Danio rerio: one gene and its partner. The protein of the gene in region 1 purifies or fractionates together with the protein of each later gene. This does not show direct contact. Links are inferred from orthologs where the notes say so. Each region holds a gene or a part of one and is shown in the gene's direction. Other genes may lie near its edges. The genes, in order: ndufaf5 and ndufaf8.

Region 1 (3,832 bases):
ACAAACTTATCCAGCTTTTTTTTTATGCAGCGGATGCCCTTCCAGCTGCAACCCATCCCTGGGAAACCCCACACACACACTCATTCACTACGGACAATTTAGCCTACCCAATTCACCTGTACCGCATGTCTTTGGACTGTAAGGGAAACCGGAGCACCCGGCGGAAACCCACACGAACACAGGGAGAACATGCTAACTCTACACAGAATGGCCAACTGAGCCGAGGATCGAACCAGCGACCTTCTTGCTGTGTTGCAACAGCACTACCTACTGCGCCACTGCTTCGCCGTCCAGGGTCACATATTAGCAATTAAAACTAATCATTAATAGAAATTTAATCGGGTAGAGTGAAATATTTAAAAGCAACTATTCCAGCTAAATATAATCAATGCAATACGTCAAATTTCCTGCAGACATGGCAATAATGTATACTACTGTATGTCATCCAATAGTTCTGTGTGATGAATAGTTGAATTGGAAGTTATTTCGGGGGATTTCAACAGCTCTAGACTCCGTTCACTTTCATTGTAACAGAAGCTTTGGAATTCTGACTAATATCTCCTATTAGTTTTCACCAGAATAAGAATAGTACTGTGGGTTTTGCAGCGAAAACATGAGTTCCAGTAAACAATAACAAAACATACATTTTTGAATGTCATTACAGGACTTTCCCTCTGGCTCTGGATGTAGGATGTGGAAGGAGCCACATCGCAGAGCATTTGAGTAAGGTAAAACTGTTCTTAGTCTGGCAAGTATCCATTATTTAATCCATATTTTCGTGCAGAAAAAAAGTAATTTGAGTCATGAGAAGCTTGTAATCTTCACTTTATTGAAAAGAGCAGCGTGCACATCTTTTTTTGTGTTTTTCAGCAGAATTTTTAAAGTTATATTCCTAAATTAAACGCGTCTTATGGTAACACGGATTCTCTCTCATTTCAGGAGGTTGTCGAACGTCTCTTTCTAACAGACATTTCAAGCTCGTCCCTGGTAAGAGACTTCTTGTTGCTTTGTTTTATTTGCAAATGCAAAATACTGTAAATATGTGCATTATAACTGCGTTATTATGCCCATTCTAACAGTCAAAAGTTTGGGGTCAGCAGGATGTTTTTGTAAGAAATTAATACTTTTATTTGGACATGATGCTAGTTCAAGATGCTGGTATTTAGCTTAAAGTGACATGTAAAGGCTTAATTTGGCAGGTTAGGGTAATTAGGCAAGTCACTGTATAATGATGGTTTGTTTTGTAGACAATTGAAGAAAAATATAGCTTAAAGGGGCTAATAATTTTATTAAAATGGTTAAAAAAATAAATAAAAACTGCTTTTATTCTAGCTGAAATAAAACAAATAATACTTTCTCCAGAAGAAAAAATATTATAGGAAATACTGTGAAAAATGTCTTGCTCTGTTAAACATCATTTGGGAAATATCTTTAAAAGAAAATTCACAGGAGGGCTAATAATTCTGACTTTACCTGTATATGACTGAGATTTTCTTGCTTTTTTTTTTCTCTCCAGAGGAACAGGAAGAAAAGTGATATTCCCGCTCAGTGTGTGATGGCAGACGAGGAGTTCCTGCCCTTTAAAGAAAACACATTTGACCTAGTGCTCAGCAGCCTGAGGTACCACACCACCCCAGTGCATGATGGGGAAATTTAGGAATGAGCTGTTATTTACAAACCCTTATTTGTCTCCTCAGTATGCACTGGATCAACGACCTTCCCGGAGCCCTGCGACAGGTATGAGTAGCGCTATATATCATTCATTCATCTTTGCCTTAGCCCCTTTATTTATTAGGGGTCACCACAGCGGAATGAACCGCCAACTATTCCAGCATATGTTTTACGCGGCGAATGCCTTTCCACCTAGAACTAAGTACTAAGAAACACCCATACACACTCATACACCACGGCCAATTTAGTTCATCTAATTCACCTATACCACATGTCTTGGGACTGTGGGGGAAACCCACGCCAACATGGGGAGAAGATGCAAACTCCACACAGAAATGCAAACTGACCCAGCCGGGACTCGAAGCAGTGACCTTTTTGCTGTGAGGCGCAAGTGCTAACCACTGAGCCACTGAGTGAAGCTAAATTGTCTGTGGTGTGTGTGTAAATGAGTGTGTATAGATGTTTCCCAGTGATGGGTTGCAGCTGGAAGGGCATCTGATGCGTGAAACATATGCTGGATAAGTTGACGGTTCATTCTGCTATGGTGAAAATGAAATGAATGAATGGACTTGTGTTGTGTTCAGATTCACCAGGTGTTGAAGCCGGATGGTGTGTTCATCGGAGCGATGGTCGGCGGTGAGACGCTGTACGAGCTGCGCTGTTCTCTGCAGTTGGCGGAGCTGGAGAGGGAGGGCGGGTTTGCGCCACACATCTCACCGTATACTGCCGTCACTGACCTGGGCAACCTGCTGGGACAGGCCGGATTCAACATGCTCACTGTGGTAAATATAAAGGGGCCCTATTACATCCTTTTTTACAAAATGTAAAATAAGTCTCTGAACTCCCTAGAGTGTGAAGTTTCATGTCAAAATACCACACTAATACTGTTTTATAGCTCTCTGAAACTCACCCATTCAGGCTTTGATCCAAGTTGTGCCGTTTGGTGCCTGTTGCTTTAAATTCAAATGAGATTGTGCTCCCAGCCCACATTTCAAATAGGGATGGAGTTACAAACACGCTATGCATCAACATAGCGGCAGATTTATGCTGTGCTCACACCAGACACAGAACGCGCGGATAAATTGTGCTATTCACACGTAAATAGACGAGTGAACATTTTATGAGTTTGCTCGCTTCATCCGAAGGTCAAATGCACTAAAAAATCATCACAGATTTCCATACCTGCCAACAATTGTCTCTGAAAATCCGGAACACCGGGTGGCAGGGGGGGTGGATTTGCGAACATTAGAAGGGGGGGGATTAGTGAATTGAAGATCAGAGGGGGGATTGGGGTGTTCCCAAACTGAAGAATGGGGTCCTTGGTCTGTCCTACCAAGGTCGGCGATCAGGGGACTGTACAAAAAAGCAAAAAGCTGAGGAACGGGGGTTAGGGGGTTGAAATTCCAGGAGTTTTCAAAACGGGAGATGGGTCTGAAATAAAGGAGACTCCCCGGAAAAATGGGAGTGTTGGTAGGTATGGTGGATTTGCTTGATGAGCAGGGCTTCTGTCTGCCCGGTGACACTAGCTTGGTGGCTAAAAGGCTAACATGGCTTTTATTGAGAGAATAGCTGTTTTATGTGCTTTATTAAAGCTGAAAAACAGCGTCGATTCGTTTGGAGCAGTGTCTGAGTCCACTAGATCTTTCAGAGGTGCACCCAGCTCTGTGAGCTCATAAACTCCTCCAAAAACTTAAGCTGGAGGATGGAGGCTTTCAGTGTTGCTTCTGACTGAGCAACTTCTACCCCGGAGCAACTTTTACTCCGGGACACCAACAGCAGGCACTACATCATAATCACTCCCCCACAAGAGAAAGCTCCTGATTGGTTAACGCGGCACGAATGTCCGCTGAAGTTCAGATTTTCAAACTTGAGCGATTCGTTAAGCGCGTCAATCGTGCAAAACTCTCAACTCGCACCGCTTTATTCGCGCAAATCGCATCATTCGCACTGCCTCATTTGCACGTATTGCGCTGTAGGATGTCTATTTGCGTCATTGCATTGACTTAACATGTAAATTACTCGACTTTTACGCTTCCTTGACGCATCTGGTGTGAACGCAGTATTAGACACTATATTTTAAAGCCTTTTATCTGCTTCGTGTGATTATATCCAGGCTCATTGTTGTGTTGCAGGACATTGATGAAGTTCAGGTCAATTATCC
Region 2 (4,382 bases), on another chromosome or scaffold:
CCACTGCTCCTCCACATCGAGAGAGGTCAGCTGAGGTGGCTCGGGCATCTGTTTCGGATGCCTCCTGCATGCCTATCTAGGGAGGTGTTCTAGGCATGTCCCACAGGGAGGAGGCCTAGAAGAAGACCCAGGACATGCTGGAGGGACTATATCTCCTGGCTGGCCTGGAAACACCTCAGGATCACCTGAGGATCCCCTCAGAGGAGCAGGAGGAATGTCAGAATAGAAAGAAGTCTGAGGTTCTCTCCTAAGACTGCTGCCCCCGCTACCCGGCCCCAGAAAAATGAATGAAAATGAGATGAGAAATGGGGATGGACAAGTTATTTTATTTTAAAACTGTAACTGCAGAAAACGCCCAGCAGTACACACCAGAAGAAATAATAAACCCTAATTCATCTACTGATTATATATTTTTTTATAAAGCTATTAATAACAATATCAGTAAAAATGAGCATTTATCAACCAATACTAATTATTACTATTAATTATAAATACGAATTACTTTCTGAATCCTCTTACATTTTCAGTACAGTCAGTACCCATACCATAAATGTTCTATGGCAATACTGAGGTTACTTTAATGTAACGTAGAGTATTAATATGACACTAATGTAACAAACAGTTTTAGTATTACCCTGGTTTTACCACAGACCATTTGCACTTGTGTCATTACTATGGTACATGTCAAAAATACCATAGTAGTAAGTACCACAACACTGTCCAAAACACCATGGCATATTTGATTGTACATTTCCAGCGTCTACAAACATAAATATCAATCATTTGTACATGTAAACAGTGTAGTGACCACATATATCGCCAGATATTGAATAAACAACGTAAGGAATGACGTTTGGCGATAGCGACAGCTGAAATGACGTTATTTTGCCCGGTGTCGCGGATACGTACTTTTTGTAGGAAGACCAACCGTTCCAGTATTGAAACCATGATGGAGCAGTCTGTGTTTTTTCGCCTGGCTGTGTACCATTTCTCAGAGGGCGGATGACCGTGCAGGTCCTGCCTGCGAGAATCTCCGCACAAACCACAGGAAACCTCAGTTTAGCTCAGACACTCTCGTTTGACACAGCGAGGTCAGAGTTGTGAGTCGACTCTTTTAGTTGAATCAGTTCGACTAGGTTGCTTATTTAAAATGAGCTGTTCAATGGAACCGATTCACTGACATGAACCGTAGATACTAAAATGCACGTGACTAAACGCGGACGTGAAACTGGGGTGGATTTCGTGAACATCCTGAAAAAGTCTTTGAAGTCTGCGTCCTTGCTATTGGCTGCTCACCATACGTAGAAAACTATGACCAATCATAAACCAGCGACATGTTTTCTGGTTCAGAAGTAGCGCTGTGATTGACCAGATTCTCCTCAGTGGGAGGGTTTACACGCGCTGTCTCAGAGGTCACCAGCATGGCGCTGTCCATGTTCAATATACACTCTGCTTACATCTCCATGACTTTTGTGAATAACTGACTGACACAGTGATTTAAAATGATTTAATCCTAGCAAAATTCGATTCTGCTGGTCCATAAAAGGATTATTTATTTCTTGAACTATGTCGGGTTCAAATGTTTGGACTCGCAGCAGAGCGAGAATGAGACTCTTCCCAGAGCTGATGGCTCAGTGCTCAGGAGAGGTACATTTACATTTATTTATTTATATATATATATATATATATATATATATATATATATATATATATATATATATATATATATTTATTTATTTATTTATTTATGCACATGTACACTGTAAATACACACAAACACACAATTTGACAACTTCCCTGTGTGTTTGAATTAAAAAAAAATGGCCTGCACAATACACGTTTTAAGTTAAGAAATCGATAATTGGTGGAATAATGATCATTATTTTCAATCACACCAAATAACTTAATTTCTTATTTGACCAATTGTAATTTTCTGAAAACAAATTCTCTAAATAACAGTTGTTGTTTTAATATATAACCAATGTTATCAAACCTTTACTGAATAAAACAAATAATAACATTTCACTCAAACCCACACCTAATAAACAAATCCTGAAAAATAAAATATTATATTAAACTAAATTATGTTAATAGGCCACTGCTTATGGGAAATGTGTAGCCGCCACAACCACTGGCAAACAGGAGCTGACCAGAAACATGTGCGTCAAAGAATTTGAAGCACTGAAAAGCTGTTTTCAATCTGCTGTGAGTGATTTCCTTTCTTACATTTTCTTCTTTTGTATTACTATCGAGCAAGATAATAACTGTGTTTCATTCATGACATGGCTAATCATAAACTATATATATATATATATATATATATATATATATATATATATATATATATATATATATATATATATATATATATATTAGTGGTGTATTGGATCCCAAATCTAAGGATTCGGATCACATCGTTTTTTAGTCATGGATTGGACCATTTTTTCTGATCAGCCAAGAAGGGGAGACAAATGTAATTTGCTTCCCATTTATTACAAAAACAGCACTGCAAGACACTTTTGGTTTTAACAAACAAAACTCAGAACCTATAATTTTATTAAAAATATAATGAAGAAATAATCAGCTGAATAAAAATAAATTGTAAAATATTCAGTACTGTGAACAATTCAGTTTCTACTACTGTTGCTGATGACTCTAAAAGTATAAATCTAACATTATAATTCGGACAATCCATATTTATTTTTAGTCTAATTTTCGAATAATGATTCAGTTATTCACTTGTAAATCTTCATGTTTCATTGCTGGATGCATCATTTTTGAAGAATTACTGAGTGGCATATTATTGATGCCTGGTTGTCGCCACCTATTGATTTAAATAATGTAATTGCTGCCTACAACTTTCATTTTTGAGCGTCATTAATGATGGTGATTTTAATCTCTACCATAAACATCAGTGATTTTATCCAAACTTTAAACTGTTATTCCAGTACTTCGGTGTTATTTTACTGTTTGAAACTAACTCAAAGACTAAATACTCAATCTCTTTCTTGATTTTCGCGTTTTCAGATTTGAATGCAGCTATTCGAATGAATATATGCAAATCACCATTATTTATAATAAATATTGCGTGGGTGTTAAGATCCCGATCTTTCAATGATTAATCGTGCAGCTTACACTGAATGCATCGATGCAGGCTAAACATGAAGTGACAGAAAACACTTTTAATAAACTGAAAAACCCACCACATCCCGAATAACCCACCACAACTTAGTCCATCTTCGTTATATTTTACAGAAAAGCCTAAATGCTTTCATACATGTGATTTGAATGACGTGAGACGCTAGATCTCTCTGTGATAATTTAAAATTTTGGATTAATCTACCAGTAAAAAACACATTAATCCATGGATCATGTGTGTTCCGAACCGTGTGTTGTGATCCTTATGAATCACGGATTAACTGTGATCTGTTACACCCCTAATATTTAAATATGACATGTTTAGGATGATGCTGTTTTTTAAACGTGTTTTGATATGTTATTTTGATTATACAAGTTATTTGAATCAATAAAGTTGCTCTACTGCCATTTTAGATGCTATGTATTTATATATATCATAAACTTAATCTGATACAGATGTCAAAATGGGACAATAACTAATTGTTTCTCATTTTTTGCAGGCGAAAAAAGCAGTAAAGTGAAGAATATTATGTTGGAGATTATTATAATTTCCCAGTGAACCATTTCTCTGTTAATATGCATGACTGTACTGTACAATAATGTCTCAAAACAATAACTCCATTGTGTACAAATCTATAATAAAGTCTCTTTTTTATATATAAAATCTCTAATAATAATGTTTTTTCTTCAGACATAGAACATAACATACAGAGGCAGTTTGGCCTGAATTATTTCACCGTCTGCATCCATTACCCTCCCCTTTCCACAAATCAATATACCAGAATGAGGATAAAAGAGCCTGACTAATGATAAGCAGACATTCGCTGTTGTTCAGAGTGTGTAATTGATGAGGGAGAAATGAGATATGAGGTGCTACATGATGGGTGGTCATTATGACGCTCTTGACCGTCACACGATTCCACCTTCAAATCTGGACTCGCTCCTAAAATCCAAAATGGCGGTTTTAGGGGGTTTGTTTCCAATCAAACAAAAGCCGGCCGAAACATGAAAGGCCGACTGATTAATGTGTATCCGTGGGGTGTACGTCAATGGCACCACAAAAGATTATGGGCTCCTAGTCGTCTCGTATGGAATGTAAAGCCGTGCCACTGTTAAATACACCCTTCCTGCGCAACCTGAACCCTCATTAGCCACATGTTAATTGATAGAAGGGCCATAAAAGCAGCAACTAATGACTGGGGATCAACAAACAATTCAAGCAGCCAATTAGAGGGACGGATCGG

Evidence for each region.
Region 2: the proteins of ndufaf5 (region 1) and ndufaf8 purify together in Homo sapiens (affinity purification with mass spectrometry; 3 studies listed by BioGRID and IntAct, counting the BioPlex papers as one, with this or other methods). This does not show direct contact. The link is inferred for Danio rerio from reciprocal best matches to the Homo sapiens genes NDUFAF5 and NDUFAF8.

Annotation. Positions count from the first base shown.
Region 1 is NC_133176.1:54,544,028-54,547,859, forward strand, and holds part of ndufaf5 (arginine-hydroxylase NDUFAF5, mitochondrial precursor), read left to right. Parts: intron 1-664; coding exon 665-728; intron 729-939; coding exon 940-987; intron 988-1,516; coding exon 1,517-1,620; intron 1,621-1,697; coding exon 1,698-1,737; intron 1,738-2,255; coding exon 2,256-2,453; intron 2,454-3,803; coding exon 3,804-3,832. UniProt on the Homo sapiens protein: Arginine hydroxylase that mediates hydroxylation of 'Arg-111' of NDUFS7 and is involved in the assembly of mitochondrial NADH:ubiquinone oxidoreductase complex (complex I, MT-ND1) at early stages. May also have methyltransferase activity.
Region 2 is NC_133187.1:36,733,438-36,737,819, reverse strand, and holds ndufaf8 (NADH dehydrogenase [ubiquinone] 1 alpha subcomplex assembly factor 8), read left to right. Parts: upstream 1-1,390; 5' UTR 1,391-1,566; coding exon 1,567-1,647; intron 1,648-2,094; coding exon 2,095-2,205; intron 2,206-3,638; coding exon 3,639-3,659; 3' UTR 3,660-3,802; downstream 3,803-4,382. Other genes in the region: AP-4 complex accessory subunit tepsin, read right to left, coding at 910-948. UniProt on the Homo sapiens protein: Involved in the assembly of mitochondrial NADH:ubiquinone oxidoreductase complex (complex I, MT-ND1). Required to stabilize NDUFAF5.